Linked DNA regions of Macaca fascicularis. The protein of the gene in region 2 interacts with the protein of the main gene of each other region in a biochemical or structural test. Links are inferred from orthologs where the notes say so. Each region holds a gene or a part of one and is shown on either strand. Other genes may lie near its edges. The genes, in order: UBE2D4, UBA1, UBE2E3, UBE2Z, UBE2L6, UBE2R2 and UBE2A.

Region 1 (4,165 bases), on a different chromosome or scaffold from region 2:
TTCACCACGTCCTCTCCTCAAGTCCTGTCAATTCCACTTCTGTGATGTGGTCCAGGCACTGCTTTGTGACCCATTTTGTACACCTCCTTGTTTCACTTTCACCACATCCTCTCCTCAAGTCCTGTCAATTCCACTTCTGTAATGTGGTCCAGGCACTGCTTTGGCCTAGCATCCATTCCATGGTCATTAATTTGGGCAAAGCCTCTGCTGAATCTTCACAACAGCCTCTAGTCTCCCTCTGTCCCACTTTAGGCCACACTGCCGCCAGAAGGATCTTTTTATAACACAGATCTCAGCACGTCATTCACCTGCTTCAAAGCCCTAGGATGACAGATGACCCCTTTCAGAGAATAACTCATCAAAATTATCTCTCTTTTGGACAGCTATTTAAAAAGAAGAGTCATACTCTCAGAGATCCTGTTATTCCACCTCTGGCAATCAAACCCAGTAATGTGAATTAAGGAAAAGGCTCACTGTACAATGATGGTTGATCTGGTTTGGATATTTGTCCCCTCCAAATCTCATGCTGAAATGTGATCGCCAGTGTTGGAGGCGGGGCCTGGTGGGAGGTGTCTGGGTCATGGGGGCAGATTCCTCATGAATGGCTTGGTAGCCCCCCAACAATAATCTGTGAGTGCTCACTCTATTAGTTCATGCGAGATCTGGGTGTTTAAAAGAGCTGGCATCTCTCTCGCTCCCTTTCTTACCAGGTGACACGCCTGCTTCTCCTTTGCTTTCCGCCATGATTGTAAGCTTCCTGAGGCCTCACTAGAAGCAGATGCTGGCACTATGCTTCTTGTACAGCCTGCAGAACTGAGAGCCAAATAAACCTCTTTTCTTTATTAATTACTCAGCCTCAGATATTCCTTTATAGCAAACAAAACAGCCTAATACAAAGTTCATAACAGCAAATAGTGAAGAATTTTGAACAACAGCAGCTAACTCATATTGAGTGCTTGGTATACAGCAAGCATGTGCTAAACACATTTCATAGCATTTAATTCTCGAAACAACTCTGTAAACATGTAGGACTGGGAGGCTAGGAATGATTAAGTGCCTTACCCAAGGTCCCACTATAAGTGACCTCACATTCTCTAACCCAGGTCTGACACCCAAGTTCATACTTTTACCTACTACAGTTTTACCTACTACAGGTAATGACTAAATAAGTCACTAGTCATGTACTTGTGGAAAGTTAATGTTAAAAATTAGTTACAGAACTGGACATGGTGTCTCACGTTGTAATCCCACCACTTTAGGAGGTAGAGGCAAGAGGATCGCTTAAGCCCAGGAGTATGAGACCAGCCTGGGCAACATAGTGAGACACTGTCTCTACAAAAAATAAACAATTGGCTGGGCATGGTGGCATGTAGTCCCCGCTACCCAGGAAGCTTAGGAGGGAGGATCACTTGAACCCGGACGGTTGAGGCTGCAGTGAGCCATGATTGTGCCACTGTACTCCAGCCTGGGCGACAGAGCAAGACTGTCTCAAAAAAAAAAAAAAAGTTATAAATACTACTTCACAACATGCTTACATTTACTATTATGTGAATAAGTGGAATACAAAATGCAGGATAATTGTTTTAAATATAGAAAAAACTGAACATAGGTATGCTAAAATGTTAACAAATAGTAAAGTGATAGGATTAGAAATACTTCTTTCTTCTACTGTTGTGCATTTTCCAAATCCTAGTGAATGCATTAAACCTTCATGGACTCCCTCTTACCTACAGGATAAAAATCAGTTATTTCAGCACTGCCCCTAAGGACCACCCGAGTCCACACCATCTGCCCTTCAGCTTCTCCCCTATCCTGTCAGTCCTCCAGGCCTCGTGGTCTCCCCATTGCCGGGAAAGCCTTTTTCCCTCTTCCCCACCTGCCGAGTTCCTACTCATCGCTTAGGACCCAGCTTCATCCTGGATACCCTTCTGGATACCCTTCTGGATACCCATCCAGCCCTTCTGGATACCCTAGAGGAGCAAGCTTGCCTTACTCCGGGGACCCAGCAACCCGCTGTCCAGGAGCCTGCAGGTGGCCCCACGGCGCCCCGCCAGCGTGACGCAGCCCACGTGGTCACGGCCCGGCCCCGCCCCGCGCTCGCGCAATCCCCTTCTCAGGCTGCGTTAGCTTTTCAGGCTGCGCGGGTGGCTGTTCGGCCACCTTCCTAGGCAGGTGTATCCGCGACTTGCGGAGCCTTTGTCACCTTTCACTTCACGGCAGCGGCGCCCCGCCCACACCTCGACGCTTCGGACACCCAAAGAGTCGGAGGGTGGGAAAGTGCGTACCTTCTGGATCCGCTTTAGCGCCATCCTACCCCGCTGCCGGGGACCCGGGCGGCCCGGCCAGGGCTGCCTGAGGCGGCCCGCTGCCGGGTCAGCCGCCACCGAGCTGCACGCCGGGAGCCGCCGCCTGCGCTTGCGCGCGCGGGGAACTGTGGGGCCGTCGTCGCCGCGTGCAGAGCGTCCTGGCGCGGCCGAGGGGAAGCCGCGGGGCTGCCCCGGTTACGCTGGCCACCCGCACCCGGTCCTGTGGCTTCGACCACTGGTCAGCAAGGCCCCGGAGAGGCCAGCGAAGAGGAGGGGCTCGTTGGCTTTACCAGACGCGCGGAGCACCCTCAAGGTGCCAAACGCTCGCTTGCTCCCTGTTCCTACATCCTGGGCGTCTTCTCAGGCTGTCATATAACTCCTGAGAATAGTGGTTCTTAACTCTGTAAGTATACATACCCTTGTACGCCTTATGGCTGGATGCGTTACAGCCATTTCCATGTAGATGTCTGTGCATACGTGCACACGCACAACTCTCCGCAGTTTTGGAGATCTCCGTGTTCAGTCGTACCTCACGTGATCTTGCACTGCCAATGTTGAGAACCAATGCCTTAGACTATGCATCACCCAAACTTAATTAGCTGTCTCCTTCCTGTTTTCCTAAGACTTGGCAGGCGTGTAGGTCAGAGTTGTTTAAACTGAGGGTTATGAACTATTTAGTGTGTCACGAAATCAATTTAATAGGTTGCAACCAACATTTGAAAAAAAAAAGCCAGACGAAGTGGCTCACGCCTACAATCCCAGCACTTTGGGAGGCTGAGGCAGGCGGATCACTTGAGGTCAGGAGTTCGAGACCAGCCTGGCCAACATGGTGAAACCCCGTCTGTACTAAAAATACAGAAATTAGCTGGGCATAGTAACGTATGCCTGTAATCCTAGCTACTTGAGAGGCTACTTGAGAATCACTTGAACCCAGGAGGCAGAGGTTGCAGTGAGCTGAGATCGCGCCACTGCACTCCAGCCTGGGCAACAGAGTGAGACTGTGTCTCAAAAATAATAAAAAATAAAAATAAAAAAGAGAAAAAAATGTCAGTGCCTTTCACACAGTGAAGGTAAGAATTGTGGAAGTTTTGTTGCTGTGTATATGTAGATGATATTTAATCTTCAGACTGAGACATGTTTGAGCATGAAAGTGGCTCTTAATATAATTACTCTGGGACCAAAGCCATAATTTAGGATTGTCTCCAGCCAGCCAGGACACATGGTCACCTCTATGTTTGTACTTAGGAAACAAAATGTATTATAGACATTTCAATGGTTGCCCAGCTTTGTCCCTGGCTTTCATGCTCCTATTCCCCCAATCTGTCCTCCACACAACTTCATAAACTGTCTGAAATATAAAGCTTACCACACTGCATCCTTACCCAGAACTCTTCAAGGAAGCCCAGTGGCCTATAGCATCACATTCACTGTCATTCAGGGGCCTTCAAAATCCAGGATCTTCAGCCAGGCACAGTGACTCACTGTGGCAAAGTGCCTGTAATCCCAGCACTTTGGGAGATTGAGGTGGGTGGATCCCTTAGTCCAGGAGTTCTAGACCATCCCTGGGCAACATGGTGAAACCCCGTCTCTACAAAAAATACAAAACTTAGCTGGGCATGGTGGTGTGCGCCTGTAGTCCCAGCTACTTGGGAGGCTGAGGTGGGAGGATCACTTGAGCCCGAGAGATCAAGGCTGCAGTGAGTTGTGATGGCACCACTGCACTCCAGGCTGGGAGACAGAGCAAGACCCAGTCTCAAAAAAACAAAAACTCAAAACAAAATCAAGTATCCTCCAGCTTTACCTTCTCCTTCCTACCTCCAGCCCACCTGACTATCAAGTGTTTCCATCACCACAGCATC
Region 2 (2,622 bases):
GGGAAGATCATCCCAGCCATTGCCACGACCACAGCAGCCGTGGTTGGCCTTGTGTGTCTGGAGCTGTACAAGGTTGTGCAGGGGCACCGACAGCTTGACTCCTACAAGAATGGTTTCCTCAACTTGGCCCTGCCTTTCTTCGGTTTCTCTGAACCCCTTGCCGCACCACGTCACCAGGTGGGGGCCCGCATCAGAAGTGGGGTTTGGGTGGGGTATGTCTGTAGATTCTGGTTCTAATTCACGTCATACCCTGTCACCAGGTGAGGGTTTCTGTCTATGTGTACCTACCTTTTTTATGCATCCTTTTTCGTTTATTCATTAATCATATTGTTTGAGTACATGCGAAAAGATGGGATATTTGAATTGTGCCCTGGGAGATTATTAGTATTATTAACTACACAATAATGGCAGCCAAAATTTATTGGATGCTTCCTACACTTATATGCTTTGCTTGCTTCATTCATGAATTCACTCAAATATTTATTGAGCACCTGTTGTGTGCAGGTACTCTTCTAAGTTATGTTCCTCAAGTAGATGATATAAATAACCTATTAAATGATCTTGGAATCAAAAAAGGATAAAAAGAGGCCGGGCGTGGTGGCTCACGCCTGTAATCCCAGCACTTTGGGAGGCTGGGGCACATGGATCACCTGAGGTCAGGAGTTCAAGACCAGCCTGGTCAACATGATGAAACCCTGTCTCTACTGAAAATACAAAAAATTAGCTGGGCATGGTGGTGGGCACCTGTAATCCCAGCTACTCGGGAAGCTGAGGCAAGAGAATGACTTAAACCTGGGAGGCGGAGGTTGCAGTGAGCCGAGATCGTGCCATTGCACTCTAGTCTGGGCAACAAGAGCAAAACTCATCTCAAAAAGATAAAGAGGACTTGAGAATACCAGGGGGCAAGGGGATGTGTTTGAGATTTTGCGTGGGATGGTCAGAAAAGGCCTTGCTGAAAAGATGACACTTGAGATCAGAATTGGAGGATGTGAGGGGGCAAACCGTGCAGGCTTGGTGGTGAGTGGGGACACATTCCAGGCAGAGGGACCAGTTCTTAAAAGGGTACCAAGATAGGGGTGTGCCTGGCAAGTTGGAGGAATTCAAAGTCCACGGAGTGAGTGTGAGACTGAGGAGAGTAGGAGATGAGAAGAAAACAATTTCAGTGCTTGGGGTGAGATGGGAGCCACAAGAGGATTTCGAACAAAAGAGGATTGTGATCTGACTGAACACGTCTGCATGGGGGTGAGGGGGATGGAGACAGATGGGGGCTGGACCCTCTGGGATGGTCTCCATCTTACACTCCCCTCTTTGTCCTGCAGTATTATAACCAAGAGTGGACATTGTGGGATCGCTTTGAGGTACAAGGGCTGCAGCCTAATGGTGACGAGATGACCCTCAAACAGTTCCTCGACTACTTTAAGGTAAGGCCCCTCCCTCTCTCTCTCACCCCACCTTGGGGGGCGAGGTGTGCAAGGTGACTTGCTGGCCTGTCCACCCCCATGACCCTGCTGTTCCCCGTCCCTCTCCAGACAGAGCACAAATTAGAGATCACCATGCTGTCCCAGGGCGTGTCCATGCTCTATTCCTTCTTCATGCCAGCTGCCAAGCTCAAGGAACGGTTGGATCAGCCGTGAGTTGGCCACTGGCCAAGCTGGGGGGAGGCCCTGTATGGGTTGGGGAACCTCAACATCCAGCTGTCCCACTCCAGTTCACTGCCCCCACCTACCTGCCCGTCCTCTCTTGCTTTCTGCCCTCCTGACCCTATGCTCCCATCCCCCTGTCCCCAGGATGACAGAGATTGTGAGCCGTGTGTCGAAGCGAAAACTGGGCCGCCACGTGCGGGCGCTGGTGCTTGAGCTGTGCTGTAACGACGAGAGCGGCGAGGATGTCGAGGTTCCCTATGTCCGATACACCATCCGCTGACCCCCGTCTGCTCCTCTAGGCCGGCCCCTGTCCATCCCTCTCCACGCCCCTTCCAGCCCAGGGTTCCCATTTGGCTTCTGGCAGTGGCCCAGCTAGCCAAGTCTGGTGTTCCCTCATCATCCCCCTACCTGAACTCCTCTTGCCACTGCCTTCTACCTTGTTTGAAACCTGAATCCTAATAAAGAATTAATAACTCCCACGTCGCCTGCCCTGCTGGTTCCAGGCAAGGAAGGGACTTCCTGGAACTATCTGGTTCAGATGGTAACTCAGAGGGCTCAGCCCCACCACACCTGCCAGTTTTCTGGGCAAAGAAAATGTAATTGCCACCTCTTCCTGCCCTCTCTGCCTAGGAAGAAAAGGAGGCACCAGTGAGGCCAGTGAGCAGGTACTTGGGTCCATGTGACTATTAATTTGAGCTGGGTTCAATTCTCACCTTCTCCATGTCCTAACTCCCTGCTCTGTGAAGAGGAAAGTTGTGACCAGGCTGCTAGGGCATGGCCAGCATGCCTTATGTCCTTAGAGCAGATCCCCTCCCACCTGGCTCAAAGCACTCAGACCCTGGGCAGCCTTTTGTAGTCATGGTTCCCAGCACCAGGAATGCCTGTGGTGCTCTTAGTTCAATTTCCTTGCTGCAGGGGTGTCTTAAACAGCTCTGCTGAATGCCAGTGCCTGCAGGCATACTTTGCAATTTTTATGGAA
Region 3 (3,624 bases), on a different chromosome or scaffold from region 2:
TTAACAGTTCTGACAATATTTTATCTGTCAAAAAAAAAGTTTAAAATTTACAAATATCTTTACTGGTGAAAAACTTTCGAAGACTACATGACATTCTAATTTACCCATTTCTGTTTTCCCTGATCATAGGCACAGCACTTAAATTTAGTAAATATTGACAGAAAGAGAAAATACATAGGCCTGAGTTAAGGGGGAGAAAAGCAGTTCTCTGATTTGATTCAAATTTAAGATGCTTTCAAAACTTTAGACGTGTCTAATATGTTCTGCATCAACACTATACCAAATTGAGAAGGATTTTATATTATGTCAAAGACTGCTGCCATTCAAAAATATTCTCAAGTTATTAATACATCATTACTGAGACAATAAAGGTGAAAATCCATAGAAAAATATGAGTATTTATGAATCACCACAGAATGCAGTATTTGTAGAAATATTTTTTCCTTTAGTTGTGATCAATAAAAATTAACAAAATGTCAACATTGGCTAACGCTGTAGAGATTATACATTTTATGTATAATTACTAGAGTTTGTGGATGTTCCACTACTACTACCACTGACAGAGTCTCATTGACAGAATCTTTTCTTCTCTATCAGAAAATATAAATCAATAGGAAACAAATGATCTTCCACTTACATCCAATTAAATATGTTTCTCCTGCTGTTGAGTATTAACTTGTCAAGCACATCCACAAGTTTCAGAGTGAAGAGGTCCAAGGACAATGAAAGTTTTCTATCACCAGTGACACCTCAAATTGTAAAGGGCTACTTTTCAGTTTGATTTGCCCTCACAAGCACAGGGAGGGATAATCATAATTTAACCACGAAAGTTACCTGTGATACATGATTTAAAGTCATGTTTTGTAAAACTGTAAGCAGATTTGCAGCACGATTTTAAATCTGCTTTCAAACATAGCAAAGGCCTGAATTTGCAATTTTCTAGCAAATATGATCATTTCTGATCATTAAGTTTCATGAAGAGAGGCCCTGCTAATCTCTGGAAGTGTCAATTTCATTAAAGAAGATTATGACTCATAAAAGGAAACATCCCCAAAGTACCATCTAATTTGGGTTCACCAAATTTTCCTTGCCAACTCCTTAAACAATCTGTCAGAATGTTAGTCTAATCTCTACTCAAGGATACTCAACTGAAGTTACCGAAGTACAGAATAAGTTTGCTTAAAAGCATAATTCTAGCAAGGTTGCATACATACCACCTAAAGAATGACAACTCATTCAAGTACAAATAAACTGATAATGAAGTAAATATTTCTGAACTATTGCTACTGATGTAAAACCAACAAAAGCGTCCAACCACCTGGAAGACAACCTGACAAAGTGTGCTGGATCCTTCTTTTACACATTACCTTTTAGCACTAGTGGATAACTTAGCAGTGGTTTTGCTAGAGAGTTTGGTGTTTTTCTTCTGCTGGGCGGCAGAAGGTTTTCTTTCCTCTTGTTCTTCAGGCTCTGGAGCGGCTGGGTCTCGCTGGTCCGCATCTGAACTGCCACTGCTGGTGCTGGGGCTCTCATCATCGGACCTTTGCCTATCACTGGACATCTTGGTGAAGTTATCTCTTGGAAAACTTTTAAAGAGAACAGGGGAGGATGGGGAGAAAATGTTAAATCTAGGAAATAAACCAACAGCATTTTCTTCTATTCATCTAATATCGTATTGTAATGAAAAAGCTTCAAAAGTGTTCACACTTATTTCATCATACAACAAGGGTTACAAGGGAGGTGATGTGTCACACAACGCCAGCGTTCAGGGATTTGCCGAACTCAAGTTAGAAAACCCACTCACATTTTTTTCCATCTCTTGGACAATCTATCAATTGTCTACTTTCTCAGAAGGCATGAAACAGATTTGCCAAGGAACTTAGGCAACAAGCATTAATAACATATGACATACTGTAAATAACAGATCTCGCTGAAAAAATGTTTAAAAGTCACTAATAACGTCTAAATATTTACACACTGACATTGGTCAAAGCTACCAAATTCCCTTTCCGAGAGGAAAACACACCCTGTTAATCGCCCATATGCTTATTTAAGGTGGCGATTCCTTCTCAGTGCACGTAAAGGCTTTAAACACAACACTTGGAAATTTAAAAATCAACTAACGAGCTCCTCTAGCTGTTTCCACCGCCAGCAGCGAAGATTCATCCGGCCAAGACCTAGCTGCCACCCTGGGAAAAGCAGAATTCAAACTGCACCTTCTGCAAAGCTCCCAATGCCACCAAGGTTCCTCGCTCAATTTTTACATCACGGACCGACATTTTGTCCAAAATAACGAAAAAAATAAGAAACCCAGAGGAAAAACAAACAAACAAACAAAGCCCCAAGAAGTGCAACAAATTTCCGCGCCCGCGGAGGCGAGTCGCGGCCGGCGGCGGCGGCCACGCAGCTCCGCGGCCCTTTGTGGGGAGGGCCGCGCGGGGGCCGCGGGCAGCGCTCGCCGCGCCGGGCGCCAAGTGATGCGAGCAGCCCGGCCGGCCCCGCCGCGGCTCGCGGACACCGGCGGCGCGGGCGCCCGGCGCGAACAAAGCTGCCCGCCCCCGCCCCCTCCCCCACCGCAGCCGCCGCCGCCCCGGCCGCCCCCCACGCGGCCCCCCGGCCCCTCCGCCTTACCTCGGCCGCCCGCCCGGCCCGCTCGCGCGCCGCTACGGTGTGGGGGAGGGAGAGAGAAAAAAACCCTTCCTTAAGGAAATGGAGGCAGCTGTGGGGGGGGGAAGGGGGGGGAGGGAAAAAAAGAAGCCGAGGAGGCTCTGGCCGGGGAGTGTGGAACATTGAAAGTCGGAGGGGGTTGTGCAGTGCCGGGCTCCGGCCGGAGGGTGGCGCCGCCCAGCGCCTTCGGAAAAAAGGGGGGGTGGGAGCTCGGCTGGGCGAGGGCGCGAGCTCCCGGCGAGGCGGAGGGGACGCGGGAGACCCCCGCGCGCTGTGGCCTCCCGCCGCCGCCGCCCGGCTCGGCTCCTCCCGGCCGCGCAGTCAGCAAGTTCCGAGGCGAACGCGGGGGGAGGGGCGGGCGCGGCGGCGGCGCGCGTGCTCGCTGCTTGCCTGGCGGAGGGGCGCGCGCCGCCGGCGCCCGGCGGGCGCGAGCTGTTCCCGCGCGCTCCCGCGCGCGCTCCCCGCACCTCCCCTCACCCGGGGGGTGCACGCGTCCGCCCGCGCGCGGCCAGGACAAAGAGCGCGGCGGGGACCTGGCGGGCTGGCCCCTGCCGCCCTTGGCCGCGGAGCCTGTGCCAGAGAAGGCGGGGGCGCGGGCACCGTATCGTGGGGCCGCTGTGCCGCGGGGTGGCTTCCGGCCTGGGCCCGCCTCCGGGCGGAGGCTGCCCATTGGGCTACCCGCGTCCCCAGGGCTAGTTCCATCCCGTCCGCCTGCGTGGGGGACGTCGTGGCTCCCGGGGCCCCAGTACCTGGGAAAGGGCCCTGGGCGCGTGGTTGGGAGTCCCCCGCCGCCCCGGGAGACGGGAGACTAATGGGTGTTGTTGGCGAGGCCAGGCACGCAGGCGGAGAAGAGCTGCCACTTGCCCCTCGTGTAAGCTGGAGGAAGGGACAAGGTGGGGTCCTGGGCATTGAAGAGAGTAGAATATATTTGTTGATTAGGGGACCAACCTCTATTTA
Region 4 (3,500 bases), on a different chromosome or scaffold from region 2:
CAGGCTGGTCTCGAATTCCTGACCTCAGGTGATCCACTTGCCTTGGCCTCTGAAAGTGCTGGGATTACAGGTGTGAGCAACCATGCCTGGCCAGCTTAATTTATTTTTAAACTACTACAGATGACACCAACTTTGATTATTTCTCTATAGACCTGAACAAAGGATAACAAAATACCTTTCAAAAATGAAAAAAAAAATTTTTTTTGAGACGGAGTCACTCCGTCGTTCAGGCTGGAGTGCAGTGGCTTGATCTTGGCTCCACCTCCCAGGATCAAGCAGTTCTCCCACAGCCTCCCGAGGAGCTAGGACTACAGGCACACACCACCACGCCTGGCTAATTTTTGTATTTTTAGTAGAAATGGCGTTTCACCGTGTTGGCCGGGCTGGTCTCGAACTCCTGACCTTAGGTGATCAGCCTGCCTCAGCGTCACAAAGTGGTGGGATCACAGGCGTGAACCACCGAGTCTGGCTTCAAAAGTTAACTAAAATTATTCCCTAATCCATCCTTTCTCCAAACAGTCATTTCAGGAGGAGATTCTAATTGAAATAGACCTCATTAGCAGGAGCTGATTTGTAGGTCTTATCTTTTTTTTTTTTTTGGAGGCAGACTCTCATTCTGTCACCCAGGCTGGAGTGCAGTGGTGTGATCTCAGCTCAGTGCAACCTCTGCCTCCCAGGTTCAAGCGATTGTAGTGCCTCAGCCTTCCTAAAGTAGCTGGGATTACAGGCACACACCACAACGCCTGGCTGATTTTTGTATTTGTAGTAGAGATGGGGTTTCGCCATGTTGGCCCGGCTTGTCTTGAACTCCTGGCCTCAAGCAGTCTGCCCACGTCAGTCTCCCAAAGTGCTGGGATTACGGGTGTGAGCCACCATGCCCAGCCTTGTGTTTTTTATTTTTTACTTCTACAATGACTTGCAGTTGTTTTTATTTTATTTTTTATTTTATTTATTTATTTACAGGCACGCACCACCACGCCCAGCTAATTTTTATATTTTTAGTAGAGACGGGGTTTCACTATTTTGGCCAGGCTGGTCTCCAATTCCTGACCTCGTGATCCACCTGCCTCAGCTTCCCAAAGTGCTGGGATTACAGGTGTGAGCTACCGCGCCTGGCCCATCAGCTGCTTTTATCAGAGGCCACGGCTCTAATTGACTGGGGTTGGTGGTAAGAGAAGAGCACAGGAAAAAGTAAAGAGGAGGCTGTACTCCCCTTCCATTCACACCATAGTGAGATCCTGTTTATATTGGCTTTCTAGACCAAAGTTGAAGTTTATCTTTTGAAAGTTTTAAGTTCTGCTTCTGCTAGATTTATTTCTAATTTTACTATTTCTTTGAGACAAAGTCTTGCTCTGTCACCCAGGCTGGAGTACAGTGGCACAGTCATAGCTCACTGAAGCCTCGAACTCCTGGGCTCTAGCCATCCTCTCGCCTCAGCCTCCTGAGTAGCTGGGACGACAGGTGCACATCACCAATGCCCAGCTAATTTTTGTATTTTTTATAGAGACGGGATCTCACCATGTTGCCGATGCTGATCCTGAACTTCTGAACTCAAGCAATCCGCCTGCATCGGCTTCCCAAAGTGTCGGAAGTACAGGCATGAGCCGTCGGGCCCAGCCCTACTTCTGATTTATAATAATTGGTTCAATGATGGTGGGACCCTAGAGACATATAACAGGTAAAGGGGTTAATCAGGAAGCATCCTTTACTTGTTGGTGCCTAAAGGTTTTCCACGCTGAGACTCTTCACTTCATTTATACCTTTTTGTCCCACCATCATTCTTTCTTTCTTTTTTTTTTCTCCCCCTAAAAAGACAAGTGTTTCCCAGCCTGGGCAACCTAGTGAGACCTTGTCTCTACTGAAAAAATTAAAAAAAAAAATAGCTGGGCATTATGACATGCACCTTGAGTCCCAGCTACTTGGGAAGCTGAGGAGAGGAACATCGCTTGAGCCCAGGAATTCAAGGCAGCAGTAACCTCTGATCATGCCTACCACTTTCCAGCCTGGACGACAAAGCAAGAGCCCGCCTCTTAAAAATTTGTAAAATAAAAGACAAATAAGCTGGGTGCGGTGGCTCATACCTGTAACCCCAGCACTTTGGGAGGCGGGTGGATTACCTGAGGTCAGGCGTTCAGGACCAGCCTGGCCAACATGGTGAAACCCCGTCTCTACTAAAAAATAAAAAATTAGGCGGGCATGGTAGCGGGCACCTACAATCCCACCTACTTGGAAGGCTGAGACAGGAAAATTGCTGGAACCCAGGAGGCAGAGGTTGCAGTGAGCTGAGATCGTGCCATTGCACTCCAACCTGGGCGACAAGCAAAACTCAAAAAACAAATAAATAATAAAAAATACAAACTTGGGACCCGCTGTGGTGACTAATGTCTTTAGTCCCAGCTACTCAGGAGGCCAAAGTGGGAGGATTGCTAGAGCCCAGGAGTTCGAGGATCCCTAGATCCCAGGAGGTCAAGGCTGCAGTTAGCTATGATTGTGCCACTGCATTCCAGCCTGGGCAACAGCAAAGACCCTGTCTCCAAAAAGAAAAACTGAAAAAACAGGATCTTACTTTGTTGTCTAGGCTGAACCCAAACTCCTGGGCTCAAGTGATCCTCACACCTCAGCTTCCTGAGTAGCTGGGACTACTGGTGCATGCCACAAGGCTTAGCAACCCTACCATCATTCTTATGTTTGGTTATTTCCCTCGTAATCTTTACTTGATAGGCCTTTCACTTGACATTCAGGAAAATGATGTGGATCTAGTTTGCTGGTTATAGGCCAAATGACCTGCAACCTGATGGTATATTTGGAGGGTGGTGGGGTGAATGGTGTCAAAAATAAAGGTGTGGTTGCTCTTCATGGATCTGCCATACAGTGGGAAAGGTATTTTTTAGTTTGTATGACTGGCTTGCATACCCCATACTAATCTTGAAGTCTCTTCCCATTGCCTTTCTTTTTGCTTAAATTTTGGGATACTCTGGCATCTGTTACATTACAGGAGAGACATCCAGGAGACAGCAAAAACTATAATGAATGTATCCGGCACGAGACCATCAGAGTTGCAGTCTGTGACATGATGGAAGGAAAGTGTCCCTGTCCTGAACCCCTACGGTATGTGTCAAGAGGGCTTGCTTGGTATTATTCCTTTGGGGCACTTGGGTAGTTGACACCTTTGAGGAACTTTGGGGCAGAGACAGTGTTGGGCACCAGAGGGAGATAGAGAAGAAGGAAAGATGTGGTTCCTGCTTTTAAAGAACAAGCTGCTGAGGGTTACCCAAGAGAAAGTTCAGAGAGCTACTGTGTTGGAGAACGCCAAGCCTTTGGGAGAGGCAGTCCACACCCTCAGGGAGTTTCCAGTTTGATGAAGGCTTGGATGTACTTTTTTCCAGCCAAATGTGTAGAGCACTTCATAATAAACTCATTTCTTAGTGCTGAAGTTTATTTTTATTATTATTTATTTATTTATTTATTTATTTTGAGATGGAATCCCGCTGTGTCGCCCA
Region 5 (3,994 bases), on a different chromosome or scaffold from region 2:
TCAAGACCAGCCTGGCTAACATAGTGAAACCCCATCGCTACTAAAATACAAAAATTAGCTGGGCGTGGTGGCGGGCATCTATAATCCCAGCTACTTGGGAGGCTGAGGTAGGAGAATTGTTTGAACCTGGGAGGCGGACACCAGCCTGGGCAACAAGAGTGAAACTCTGTGAAAGAAAGGAGAGGAGAGGGAGAGAAAGAAAGAGAGAAAAGAGGAAGAGAAAGAGAGGAGGAGAGAGAGAAAGAGAGAGAAGGAGAGAGAGGAGAGAGAGGAGAGAAAGAAAGAAGGAAGGAAGGCAGGAAGGAAGGAAGGAAGGAAAGAAAGAAAGAGAAAGAAAGAAAGAAAAAGAAAGAAAAGAAAGAACAAGTTAAAAAGCAGAAAGACGAAGTTAAAGTGTACAGTTTGTATTAGGTTTTTGTTTTGGTTTTTGGTTTTTTTTTTTTTTTTTTAGACACTCACTCTGTCACCCAGACTAGAGCCCAGTGGCACAATCACAGCTCACTGAAGCCTCAACCTCCTGGGCTCAGGTGATCCTGCCACCTCAGCCTCCCAAGTAGCTGGGACTACAGCAGTATGCTACCATGCCCAGCTAATTTTGGTACGTTTTGTAGAGATGGCGTTTGGCTGTGTTACCCAAGCTGGTCTGGAACTCCTGGGCTCATGCAATCCACCCGTACTACCCAGGCTGGTCTCAAAACTCCTGGGCTCAAGCAATCCGCCAACCTCAGCCTCTCAAAGTGCTGATATTACAGGAGTGAGACACCACACCTGGCCTTTATTAGGTTTCATTTTGCTTGTTTGTTTATGCAATCAGTGTTAACTTGTCATTAGTTTAAAATAACGGGTTATAAGATATTATTTATAAACCTTGCAGTAACCTCAAATCTAAAAACATACAACAGATACATAAGAGTTACCTGACCCAAAATGTCAGCAGTGATGATGTTGAGAAACGGAAGCTCTCCAAACCCAGTCCACAGTTGAGGAGGGGTCCTTTACCACTGGGGACCATTTGAACTTTCTCTGCCTTCTCCCCACCCCCAGCATATAATATAAACACATCCCATGCCCCCCTCCTCTCTCTCAGTCTACCTTCCATCTCTGTTCAACCAATAAGCTGCTTCTGGTGCCTCCCACCCAGAGTCAATGGGCCCTCATTTATCTTTACCCCAAACTAGAAGCACCTGTACTCCTAAGAGTTTCTCTATCATCTGTGACTGTTTGGCAAGAACAAAGCCCAAGGCTGACCAGAGAAGAACTGGAATAAACATTTCCCTGACTTTACTATAACTGGGCACACTTGGACTTTATCTATTTAGGGTGAGTTCTGCCAAAACTTTCCCAAAGCCTGAGGAAGTTGAAACCCAACTTAAAACACACAGTTCTTTCCTACTGCCTAATAGGAAATCACCTGACTAACCAGAACAGAAAATGAAAGTAGAAAGGCCATTGAAAGAGCCTGCAGGCTGGAGGCCTGTAGACCTGGCTTCATAGTCCAGTCCCATTGTTCCTTACTGAAAGACTCTGGACAAGCAAGTTATTTTCTCTGCGCCTCAATTTCCTCATTTGTAAAATGCAGGTATATATTACTTATCTCACAGAACTGCTGTGAGAATTAGATGAAAGAACCATGTACACTGTTTGGCATGTAATGGTTCCAGTGCAGTAAATTCTGGCTCCCATCTCTCTTCCCCTTGGCTGGAAAGACCCTCTGACTCATTTTGCTGCCAACCTCCAGATTTAGGATCTAGGCCAAGCCTGCTCTGGGCGTCCCAGTCTGAGGCCATTTTCTTCTCAGAGGCTGTGGGTAGCAGGCACCCTCTTCCTCGCCTAGAGCCTGCCCTTCCACCCTGCAGACTGGAAGGGGCACTTCTGAGAGACTTGCGGTGCCATACTCACTTCACCAGGATCACCTTCCTCCCTAATCCATCTCCAAACACCCTGGGTTTTCCCACCTTCTGGAGGGAACTGCCCCCTCCGCATCCTTCCAGATCTTATTTCAAATTGTGTCCCTGATAGGAATAAAATTCAACAAGGGCCGGATTTGTGTTCATCTCTGCCCGCCCCACCCCCACCTCCTAGAACAGGGCCAGCACGTGTAGGCATTCAACACTTGTAGAACTCACGAATGCAAGCCACCTACTCCAGGAGGCCTTCCAGGTCCACCTCCGCATCTTGCCTCCAGAGAATACCCAGGGAACTTTGCCCCAAATTCTAATCAGCATTCCGTGTTTCTCAGGACTCTAGTAATACAGGCATCAAATTATGGGATGGGCCATGGGCTTATTCCAAGGCAAGGACTTCATCCTGGTCATCTGTGTTCATAACCCACCACAAGCAGTAGCAGAATGCCTGGCACCAAGATGCCAAGGACCTTTCCTGCACTGGAGATGCACCCAGTTATTATCACAAGTCTCAGGCAGGAAAAGCGAAATTGAAACCAGTTTTGGAGGAGCTAGCTCATCTTCACCACGCAAACGGCTCAAGCGGAGGCCCCCAAACCCCCAAAACTCTAGCTCTGGCCACTCTTGCAGGCCAGTCCTCCTCTGAGTAGAGCGCGGGAAGGACAGGGATTCAGCCAGCTCTGATGCCCAGACAAATAAATGAATGTGCTCGGAGAGCCGCGGAGGGGATGGAGAGAGGAGGGAATGCGCGGGGCGAGGGGAGCCAAGAGAAAGGGGTCATCCTATACGCGGTTACCTTAGCCACTCGTATGCTCGCCATCTCGGGACCGAGTGTGTGCCACTGGCGTCCTCCAGCAGGACCGAGCACCTACACGCCAAACAGCGCGCCCCGCCCCGGGGCCCCCACCCCCGGCAGCCCCGCCCACCCCTCCTCCCGCGGTCGCAGCGTGGACCTCCCGGCATCCGCGCTGGCGGGGCCAGAAGGCCGCCGAGGGACAACGCGCCGGGCAACCGCCCGATCCCCGCGCGGAGGGCTCGGACCCGGGACTCACGGTCCTTGTAGGGAGACGGGGGCGGGCCTCGGGGCGCGAGGCTCTGCTGATCCCTGCCTCCCGCTGGGGGCGTCGTGCACCGGCAGGGAGCGCTCAGGGGCGCTGGGGGGCGCTCATAGGGGTTCTAGCCTTCGCTCCGCCGGCGGCCGCGCCGGGAGCTCTCCGGTCTTGGTCAGCACCCCCGCGCGCCGCCCCAAATACACACTCGCCCTGAATGAATAAGGGAGGCTCGCTGTGCGGACGCGGCTCCGTGACAGTTCTCGGTGGCCTCCACCATCAGACCTCCGCCCTGAGCCCCTGCCCCAGCGAGCATCCGCAGCCGCCGAGCCTGCCGCCTTCCCTCCATGGGCCCAGCGCTCCTTCTCCGAAACTGCGTGAGGGACGGCGTAGACCTGTGCCCTCCAAGCACCGCTGCCCGGCGGTCGGGAATCCTTTATGCTGTCCGGCGTTCGGCGCGGGCTGCAACGTTTCTCCCAGTGGCTTGGGGCAGAGCACCTCAAGGAGGCGCTGTTGGACCCTTTCTCTTTTGCTTTGGGGGTTCGGTCTACCATCATTCAGTCCTTTACTAGGCTTAGTATTTACCAAGTGCCTACTGTATACTGATTTGGGAAACAGTTGGCTGGGGGAAGCCCCAAGACGGACTCAGGAGCCTCCTTTCCAAGAGAGCGTCTGCTTCGCCTCCCTTACTTTACATCTGGTCCATTATCAAGCTATGGGCCTAGTGTGCGCCCCCATGCACAGCTGGAGTCCCCACTCCTCTGTGCAAAGACAGAGTACTTGCAGCCCCTGAGCACCGAGCAGCATCTGGGGAGGATGAGACTTGTTGGGAGGGCCGATCCCCTCCTTCTCACCCTTCCCTACCCCGCTTTAGTCCAGACAAGAAAGGAAATAGCTATATTTTGAGCACTAGTTTGTGGTCTCAGTACCTCACAGGTTTTTTGTTTCCTGTTTTTCTGACAGAGTTTCGCTGTCACCCTGGCTGGAGTTCAGTGGCGATATCGGCTCACTGCAACCTCTGCCTCCCGGTTCAAGCTGTTC
Region 6 (4,180 bases), on a different chromosome or scaffold from region 2:
AAACAATGCTTTGTCAGAAAAGGCATCATGGTCGGGCCGGTGGCTCACGCCTGTAATCCCAGCACTTTGGGAGGCCAAGGTGGGCTGATCACAGGGTCAGGAGTTCAAGACCAGCCTGGCCAATATGGTGAAACCCCATCTCTACTAAAATACAAAAATTAGCTGGGCGTGGTGGTGTGCACCTGTAGTCCCAGCTGCTTGGGAGGCTGAGGCAGGAGAATCGCTTGAACCTGGGAGGCAGTGGTTGCACTGAGACAAGATCACACCACTGCACTCCAGCCAGGGTGACAGAGCAAGACTCAGTCTCAAAAAAAAAAAAAAAAGAAAGAAAGGCATCACATAGATTCAATTTTGTACAACTCATTTTTCCAGTATGCATAAAAATTTATATCTGACAACAGAGAATATGCTTAACATAAACACAGCAATACCTTTCCACTTTGTTACTAATAACTTGCATGTTTTCTTAGAAATTTTAAATACCTCCATCTGAAAAGTATAGGGTAGGCTGACCACAAAAGATGAAGCCTAACAGTCGGTAGGGGTACCGCACTTACATAATATTCTAAAAACGTGCTTTTCTAAGTATTCAGTGACTATCACAGTAGCGAATATTAAACATTCCTGTATAAATCCCATCTCCTATAAAGTTGACCTAATTTCAAGCATAAAACTGAGGTTTCCACCTTTAGAAGGGTAGAAAACAAGAGTTAAGTAATTGGGTAGTCCTAAAAATACACATCACAACTACATGACTAAGATACTCATTTAAAACTTGTGCCAAGATAACCCCTCCCTTCCAAACTAAAATTGACTCACTGGCCTATTTTACTTAATTTTGGAAATAAAAAAATAAAACTAAATGGATTCCTAAGCACTCATTTCCTCTGTCTCTGCCCGCATCATTTAAAACATTCAAACTTTCAATCTGTGATTCCTCCCTGCAAAAACACTCAAGTAAAAACAAAACAAAACAAACACTCATTATCTCCAGGTTAACTACCTTGGAGTTAAAAAAAAAAAAAAAATTAGATTCTAGAATAACCACTGTTCTAAAACCATATGAAACAATAGAAACAATGTCTGTGGTCGCTAAGCAAACATATATCCCACCCAGAGAAGCGATCTCGCCTCAGATACTTGTCACCTGTGAGACCACCCCTTTAGCTAGAGTTAACCACTTGAGAAGGTTTCAATTTTGTCTCTGAAAGTGGGAAGCTATCAATCTCCCTACATGACTCGTTCCACCCTCTGTGGATATTTCTACCTGTAGAAAAAAAGGCTGGCAAACTTGGTGGCACAGTGAGGACAAAGGGCATTTTGAAAGAACCAGTGACTGAGGTAAGCAGAGAATGTGAACGGAAAGAGGGTTAAAGTTCCCCCAAAAGGATAATGACAAGACGCGGGCACCCCTTTTTTTTAACCACCCCTAGGGTCCCATTCTTCACCACCACCCATTGGAATGCAAAGTTGGCACTACTACTACCCAAGAAGTCCAACAAATCCTCAAAATGTCAGGGCACTCGGCAGCTTCTTAAATGACAAGCTGGTGCCCCTCCCCCACCCTCACCCCCACCCCCCCAAAAAAGAAAAGTCCAATCCAGTCGGTGCAGGTCACCCTGCCCTCTGGGGCAGTTCCAGCCTGCGCAGGGAGGGGTTCCGACCGGAGGACGAGAAAGCACAGACAGACCACCGCTCTTTCCACCCGCCCTCAGCTGGGGAAACAAAGACGGCCTCCTGCGCCTGTAGCCACTACCCTAACCAGAGAGAGACTCTCCGATTTCCCGGTGCAGCCTGCCCTCCCGCCCTCGCCCGCGCCCCCGCCCCCATGACAAAGAAAAGGCACTCGGCGAGCAAGGCCTTCCTGCCTCCACGGATGGGGGAGGGGGCTGCCGGGGTGAGGAGCCCCCTCCACTGGCCCGTGCTCATACTCCTGGTCCCAGGAACGGCAGAAAGCGGCGGGGAGCCGGAGGCCTCGGCCGCGGAGGCAGGGTCCGGGAGCGGGGGTGAGGGTACCTTGAAGTAGCCGCCTTCGTAGAGGGTGTTAGGGGGCCCGAAGATGGCCACCTCCCAGTTGTAGAGGTCGGACTCGTCCACCAGGGTGATCCGGAAGCCCTCCACCGGTTCCTCCTGCAGGGATTTCAGCTCGAGCATCAGGGCCTTCTGCGAGCTGGTCATCTGCTGCTGGGCCATCGCGGCGGCGGCGGCGGCGGCGCCGGGCCCGGGCCCCAGTCCTCACGCACCGGCCGGGCCGGACCAGGCCCCTCCCCTCCGCTTGCCCTCGGGCCGGGCCGCACCGGGCCCCGGTCTTCACACACCCGGCGGGCCGGACCAGGCCCCACACGGCCCGTGGGCCCGCCCGCGGTCCTCCTCACACACGACGCGGGCCGGGCCGGGCCCTTCTCCTCACACTCGGGCCAGGCGAGAGGAGAGGTCGAGGGAGTTAGGGGAATTCGCTCCGGGTCCCGGTCCCGGTCCTCCCCCCCCCAGGAGGGGGGCCTCAACTTTGGGGGGGGGGAGAGGAGGTGGAAGCGGAGGAAGGCGGCGGAGGGCCGGCGATGGTGAAGGGAGGGGGCCGGGCCGGCCCGGGAACGCCGCGCTCGCTCGCCCTCTCGTTCTCTTCGGGGGCCGTAGGGACCGGAGGGCGCGCGGGGCTGGAGGGGGTGGGGGGAGAGCGGCGTGCGGGGGTCTCGCGGCGGTGGCGGCGGCGGCTGCGCGGGGGGAGGGGCGACGGCGGAGGAGGAGGAGGAGGAGGAGAGCGAGAGCGCCTCGCGCCGCGGGAGCTACGGAGCCGAGAAGCAGGGAGGGAGGGAGGGAGGGAGAGAGGGAGGAGGGGCGCACGCCGGGAGCTGGGCGGCTCTCAGCGGCTGGCGACCCGACGCGCGTGCGCGCGCCCCTCCCTCCCCTCCCCCCACCGTGCCTGGCTCTTCTACACTACCACCTCCTCCTCCTCTTCCTCCCGCTTCCACGCCTCTTGGCCTCCCGCGCGGTCGCGGCGCTTTGTGACGCCGGCGCGTGTCCCCCGCCTATAAAGAGCCCAGAGGCAGCGGGGACCGAGGATGGGCGCAGGGATTGCCGTGGCCCCATAGTGACGGTTGTGCGGCTGGACGCCGCAGTTCCAAAGGCGTGCCCCGGAAGGGAACCCAGGTCCCCCGGTTCTCGGGGCCCTCCCCACTGTGGATCCAGGGGCCTCGGCAGCCATCCTGGGACGGGCCTGGTCGCTGCAGGCCCCTCCCTGTGACACCCAGTCTGCGGTCCCTCCACTTAGTAGCTACTTGATTAGGATGTGCTGAGAATGTGGGTCTTTTCCGTGGCAACAGACCTTCCCGCAGGCCAGCCCACAGGCAAATATGCCCTTGGGCACGTTACCCACCCTGGGTGCGGCAGTTCCACGTGAGAAACGGGGTAAGACAGAAAGGTCAGCTTCTGCTTCCCTTCTTAACTACAAAGAGGAAGTTGTGAGGAAAAAGAGACAATAACAAAGTGGGTCTCCTGCCCTTCTCATTGTGATTTGGGGCTACCCTTCGCCCTCCCCATTTGTAAAATTGTGCTTGAACTTTGACCCCTTATAGGTCCTTTTGGCTTGAATGTCCACCCTGGAACTGAGGGACTTTCGAGATAATCATAACCGAAATGAGATGTGGGGACAGTCTTTGGTCCCCGTGGTTCAGAATACAGTACTCCTTTCTCTTAGGAAGGCGTGTCCTAGGATAACTGCCTAAAAAACATTTCCTAGAAAAGCCAGAATACCGTGAGAGTTCTACACACACAATTTCGGAATCGGACAGATCTTGGTTCCAACCCTAGTTCCACACATTACTTCTCCCTGTCTCATCAGTTTTTTGTTTTTTTGTTTTGTTTTGTTTGAGACAGGGTCTTGCTCTATCACCCAGGTCGTCGCACAGTGGCGCGATCACGGCCCACTGCAACCTCCTCCTCCCAGGTTCAAGCGATTCTTCCACCTCAGCCTCCCAAATAGCTAGGACTACAGGTGCTTGCCACCACACCCGGCTGTTTCATCAGCTTCTGTAAAAGGGGATTAATTATACCCAACACAAGCAATTATAATGATTAAACGTATGTACAGCATTTAGCGTAGTGACTGGCACATGGTAAATGATTCATAGGAACTTGAAAGAAAAAACTTTTTTTTTTTTTTTTTGAGACGGAGTCTCGCTCT
Region 7 (4,024 bases), about 79 Mb from region 2:
ATAAAGCTGTGCCCAGCATAAAACAGAGTAAAACGAGGAAAAAAGAAGCCAATGAAAACAAAGCCTACTAGAGCTAAAGCAAATACACAGTTAATCTGTACATTTAAATCTCAGGTATAAAGAACTAGTGCTGGCTGAGTACGGTGGCTCAAGCCTGTAGTCCCAGCACTTTGGGAGGCCAAGGCGGGTGGATCCTAAGGTCAGGAGTTTGAGACCAGCCTGGCCAACATGGTGAAACCCCATCTCTACTAAAGATACAAAAAATTAGCCGGGCGTGGTGTCGTGCACCTGTAATCCCAGCTACTCAGGAGGCTGAGGCAGGAGAATCACTTGAACCCAGGAGGTGGAGGTTGCAGTGAGCTGAGATCGCGCCATCGCACTCCAGCCTGGGTGACAGGGCACGACTCCGTCTCAAAAATAAATAAATAAATAAATAAATAAATAAATAACTAGTGCCAATCTGGTAGAGGAAAATTTAAGTCTAGCTATAGTTTCTTGCTACAAATCAGCTCAAATGATTAACTGCACCAAAGTAGTATGCCCTTACAATCACTGTCTCCTGCTGTCATTTCTTTTCATTGCAGCCCTGAAGAACAATGATATTTACCCAGGGGGTAAAGGTAGAGAGGAAGCTAAAAATATTCAGGTGACTGTCCACAGTTTCCTGGAGAAATCTAACTACTTGAGATGAATTATAGACTTAGTTGATATTGACTTACCTCACAACATTTTGCGGACTGGTAGCATCAAAAAGCAATCCGGCTCAGCAACATAAGTATGTATTAAGTAGTTTGCAGAAATGTTTTTGTTCCCACCTTCAAACTGAAGTGTGTGTGTGTGTATAAATGCTATGTGACCGAATGAAGATAAATCATTGAGGAAAAAAAATAACAGAAACATCCTTTTCCTTTTTTTAAAAACCTCAAATATTAAAGAATTTCATAAGTTCAAATACTTTAATCATCCTTTAAATGTATTAAACTTTCAAAAAACAACAACACACACACACCACACACACAACTGAGTGCAGAACTATCAATGTCATTTTTCTGGTTGTGATAGGGTCTAGTCATTCAAGATGTTACCAAACGGGAGGGTTTGGGGAGAGGACTGGGTTAAGGGTATAAAGGGTGTCTCTCTTAATTTCTTGCAACTGCATATGAATCTATAATTATCTAAAATCATAAAGTTTTAAAAAAGCAATTTACACATGTGTTTTTAAAAGTTAAACCTAAATCACTTAAAAATTATGTACCTACTGGTACATGTAGTACTTTCAAGTAGGCGGGACACTGATCAAAAGGGTACAGTGAGGCTAACTTCAATTGTGAAGCTGCTTTGAAATTACTGATCATAACGTCTTGATGAAAGCACACACTGTAAATTCACTTAAAAATAAGAAACAATACTGTACTCAAATGAGGCATTTAAGACCATCTTAGAGAAGTGAGGCTGACAGGCATTCAATGTCAGATTGTAGAAACCAGACAGTTGAATGGAAGGGACGCTTGCATCCACTCAACATCCAACACACATCTACCAAGCACCTGCTGACCACAATTCCTGCCCTTGGGGTAGAATTCTGAACCAGATGGTCTCTGGTGTTTCTGCTGACTATCAGCAACTGGTTGGGTTTATACTAATTCAGTGATGGAGGGCTGAATTTAGCAGAATCACAGCCCAAGCCTCAAAAATCCTTAATATCAGTGCTATGATTGCTCCTTTTAAAAAGTGACTGCCTTCCCCAGATTTTTTTTTAAGAAAACAAGAAGAAAGGTGCAGTTCTAGTCAAGCATACAATATCCAGAACGACCAGCTACACACTGCATTCCACTCAAGCCTTTAGCAGACAGAGACTAGGCACAGCCAGGTTCCTAAGCAGGAGACACTTCCAGGATGAGTGGGAACCCATTCCCCAGATGATCAGGCTCCTGAAAAGTGGGTAAAGAAACTCTCTCTTACCATCCTCAAACGGGGTCCCTTCAGGCCTGCAACACAGAGAAAAATGGTCAGTTCCCACTTAAGGGGCCCCCTTCTCCCTGCTTCATCTGAGATGGCTATCCCGAGCTCTGCCACCTCCCGCACCGCTGCCGGAGTCGAAAGCCACTACAAATAGATGTCCCGGGCTCAGAGACACAGGGCAGGCCGCCGCGCCTAACCGCCACCACTCCCCGCCCCGCCCCCCTAGAACCCCAAGCGGTTCCCCCTGGCAGCGGGAACTGAGCTAATCGAGGCACAGGCTCCGGGGAGGCGCCTAGGCCCAGCCAGACCCAAACATTTTCCCCTACCCCCTCGGCCTCCACGGGGGGCCCGCCTTGGAGCGCAGACCGAGAGGGCTCGCGTACCCGGTTCTCTCGCCACCGCCACGAACGCAGACTCACCCGAAAATGACCGCGTTCCACACCATTATGTTGTTCTCGGACGGAGCCCCGCTGACTCCGGCTGGAGGATCCTCCTGCAACCTTCGGGAAGACAGACAGGGGTCCCCCTAGGCCGGCACTGGCGCCCGCTCCCGGCCGCTCCCCAGCCCTCCCCGCCCGGCGCGCCTCGGGACCCGCCCTGTGCCCCGGCTCGCAACCCCCGGCCTCGGCCGTCCCCTCGGTTTACCTCTTGAAGTCCCGCATGAGGCGCCGCCGAGCCGGAGTGGACATGTCGCGAGCGGGGTCAGGGGTGGGGCATACACTGGGGTCTCGGGTTCCCGCGGCGGGCGACGAGGCCGAGGACGCTGGAGAAGCCGGAGAAGGGGAGGCGGAAGCACCCAGAGGCACCGCGCTGCCTCTCCGAAGTCGAGGGTCGGTCTGGCGCCGGCTAAGCACCACCCCAGTGTAGACGGGGGCTGAACCAACCTGAGAGCAGAGAGAGGGGGGTGGAACGTCGAGCGCCGGACAGGCCGTACCAAGACGGGGCGGGGGGTGCGCGAGGAAAGTTGCTTATGTCATTAAAGCCCCGCAGGAGGCCGGGGGCGGGGCCGCGAGCTCAGAGGCGTGGGGTACGCTGGAGCCCGGGGCGCTGGAGGACCTCGTGGTGGAACGGGGTCCATCCCCACCTGCTAATTCTAAGGCAAACCCTGGGAAGTTTTCGGCTTTTTTTCTTTTTCTCTTTTTTTCTTCCTTTTTTTCTTTTTCTCTTCTTTTTTGTTTTGTGACCAGATCATTCATGAGAGCGCGCACTATGCCCGGGGAGGAGGGGGGAGAAGTTTGGAAGTCCCAAACTAGAGGACGAAGGAGTGGGCGGAGGTAAAACCGGTTCTCAAAAAGCGGCAACTCTAGGGTGCCCAATCCCTGCGGACACCGGAGATTGGGGTCGGAGGGGTGCGGAGCAGAGTGATTGGTTAAAATCACGAAAAATCAAAAGAATAAATTGGCCTTGACTATGACCGGCGGGCGGGGCGGGGCTGTGGGATTGAATGCAGGATTGGGCGCTCAACGTTTAGGCCAATGATCACCCCTGGGCAGAATGAAATGGTGTTGTATGTCCTGTGGGAGGGAATGGGAGCTTAAGGCAGGCAGAGTAGGGTTTTGTTTTGTTTTGTTTTGCTTTGGGCACTCACAATTTGGCTCTGGAACCACATTTTCCCTTGGTAGTTCAACAAGCCGAGCGGCTATTATATGTTCAGAAGAGTCCACAGTATGAGACTATCCGACTGCAGGGAGTTGCAAGGACAGTGGGTCTGAAGTAAAAGGAACGTGGAAAAGCTGCAGGTTGCGGGAAGAGTCACAGTCCGTGGACCTGCAAAAGCAGTAACAGTTTTAAAGGATAATTTTTAAAGGTCAACCCAAAATAACTTAGAAGATAGGCATAATACACATTTAAAAATTATTGAAAATAGGAGAAAGGTAGGTTTGGGTTAAGTCATCAAGAGTTTTGAATGCCAAGCTAATGGATTCCTTGGAAGTCCATTAAGCAGGGAAGTGACATCATTAGAGCTGTGCTTATCAGAGATTGGTCTCAAGAGAGCAGGCAGGAGACTCTTGCAGTATCTAGGTGTGAGATACTGAACCAGGCAGTGACAGTAAAGGCAAGT

The links.
Region 1: of the proteins of UBA1 (region 2) and UBE2D4, one has a biochemical effect on the other in vitro, tested with the Homo sapiens proteins (4 studies listed by BioGRID). The link is inferred for Macaca fascicularis from reciprocal best matches to the Homo sapiens genes UBA1 and UBE2D4.
Region 3: of the proteins of UBA1 (region 2) and UBE2E3, one has a biochemical effect on the other in vitro, tested with the Homo sapiens proteins (3 studies listed by BioGRID, with this or other methods). The link is inferred for Macaca fascicularis from reciprocal best matches to the Homo sapiens genes UBA1 and UBE2E3.
Region 4: of the proteins of UBA1 (region 2) and UBE2Z, one has a biochemical effect on the other in vitro, tested with the Homo sapiens proteins (3 studies listed by BioGRID). The link is inferred for Macaca fascicularis from reciprocal best matches to the Homo sapiens genes UBA1 and UBE2Z.
Region 5: of the proteins of UBA1 (region 2) and UBE2L6, one has a biochemical effect on the other in vitro, tested with the Homo sapiens proteins (2 studies listed by BioGRID). The link is inferred for Macaca fascicularis from reciprocal best matches to the Homo sapiens genes UBA1 and UBE2L6.
Region 6: of the proteins of UBA1 (region 2) and UBE2R2, one has a biochemical effect on the other in vitro, tested with the Homo sapiens proteins (5 studies listed by BioGRID, with this or other methods). The link is inferred for Macaca fascicularis from reciprocal best matches to the Homo sapiens genes UBA1 and UBE2R2.
Region 7: of the proteins of UBA1 (region 2) and UBE2A, one has a biochemical effect on the other in vitro, tested with the Homo sapiens proteins (6 studies listed by BioGRID, with this or other methods). The link is inferred for Macaca fascicularis from reciprocal best matches to the Homo sapiens genes UBA1 and UBE2A.

Annotation. Positions count from the first base shown.
Region 1 is NC_088377.1:86,333,873-86,338,037, forward strand, and holds the start of UBE2D4 (ubiquitin-conjugating enzyme E2 D4), read right to left. Parts: upstream 2,801-4,165; 5' UTR 2,766-2,800; coding exon 2,724-2,765; intron 2,710-2,723; exon of another isoform or gene 2,310-2,709; coding exon of another isoform or gene 2,286-2,309; exon of another isoform or gene 2,116-2,285; intron 2,078-2,115; exon of another isoform or gene 1,877-2,077; intron 814-1,876; exon of another isoform or gene 708-813; intron 1-707. UniProt on the Homo sapiens protein: Accepts ubiquitin from the E1 complex and catalyzes its covalent attachment to other proteins. In vitro able to promote polyubiquitination using all 7 ubiquitin Lys residues, but may prefer 'Lys-11' and 'Lys-48'-linked polyubiquitination.
Region 2 is NC_088395.1:47,320,515-47,323,136, forward strand, and holds the end of UBA1 (ubiquitin-like modifier-activating enzyme 1), read left to right. Parts: coding exon 1-177; intron 178-1,319; coding exon 1,320-1,421; intron 1,422-1,529; coding exon 1,530-1,630; intron 1,631-1,787; coding exon 1,788-1,923; 3' UTR 1,924-2,122; downstream 2,123-2,622. UniProt on the Homo sapiens protein: Catalyzes the first step in ubiquitin conjugation to mark cellular proteins for degradation through the ubiquitin-proteasome system.
Region 3 is NC_088386.1:76,487,114-76,490,737, reverse strand, and holds the start of UBE2E3 (ubiquitin-conjugating enzyme E2 E3), read right to left. Parts: upstream 2,125-3,624; intron 1,787-2,124; coding exon of another isoform or gene 1,744-1,786; intron 1,587-1,743; 5' UTR 1,562-1,586; coding exon 1,368-1,561; intron 1-1,367. Other genes in the region: uncharacterized protein, read left to right, coding at 1,744-1,786, 2,307-3,624. UniProt on the Homo sapiens protein: Accepts ubiquitin from the E1 complex and catalyzes its covalent attachment to other proteins. In vitro catalyzes 'Lys-11'- and 'Lys-48'-, as well as 'Lys-63'-linked polyubiquitination.
Region 4 is NC_088390.1:57,796,746-57,800,245, reverse strand, and holds part of UBE2Z (ubiquitin-conjugating enzyme E2 Z), read left to right. Parts: intron 1-1,504; exon of another isoform or gene 1,505-1,678; intron 1,679-2,995; coding exon 2,996-3,108; intron 3,109-3,500. UniProt on the Homo sapiens protein: Catalyzes the covalent attachment of ubiquitin to other proteins. Specific substrate for UBA6, not charged with ubiquitin by UBE1. May be involved in apoptosis regulation.
Region 5 is NC_088388.1:16,046,504-16,050,497, reverse strand, and holds the start of UBE2L6 (ubiquitin/ISG15-conjugating enzyme E2 L6), read right to left. Parts: upstream 2,801-3,994; 5' UTR 2,725-2,800; coding exon 2,701-2,724; intron 1,410-2,700; exon of another isoform or gene 918-1,409; intron 1-917. UniProt on the Homo sapiens protein: Catalyzes the covalent attachment of ubiquitin or ISG15 to other proteins. Functions in the E6/E6-AP-induced ubiquitination of p53/TP53. Promotes ubiquitination and subsequent proteasomal degradation of FLT3.
Region 6 is NC_088389.1:65,590,192-65,594,371, forward strand, and holds the start of UBE2R2 (ubiquitin-conjugating enzyme E2 R2), read right to left. Parts: upstream 2,801-4,180; 5' UTR 2,194-2,800; coding exon 2,017-2,193; intron 1-2,016. UniProt on the Homo sapiens protein: E2 ubiquitin-conjugating enzyme that accepts ubiquitin from an E1 ubiquitin-activating protein, and catalyzes its covalent attachment to other proteins by an E3 ubiquitin-protein ligase complex.
Region 7 is NC_088395.1:125,912,995-125,917,018, reverse strand, and holds the start of UBE2A (ubiquitin-conjugating enzyme E2 A), read right to left. Parts: upstream 2,801-4,024; 5' UTR 2,652-2,800; coding exon 2,608-2,651; intron 2,463-2,607; coding exon 2,382-2,462; intron 1,989-2,381; coding exon 1,963-1,988; intron 1-1,962. UniProt on the Homo sapiens protein: E2 ubiquitin-conjugating enzyme that accepts ubiquitin from the ubiquitin-activating enzyme E1 and transfers it to a E3 ubiquitin-protein ligase. In vitro catalyzes 'Lys-11', as well as 'Lys-48'-linked polyubiquitination.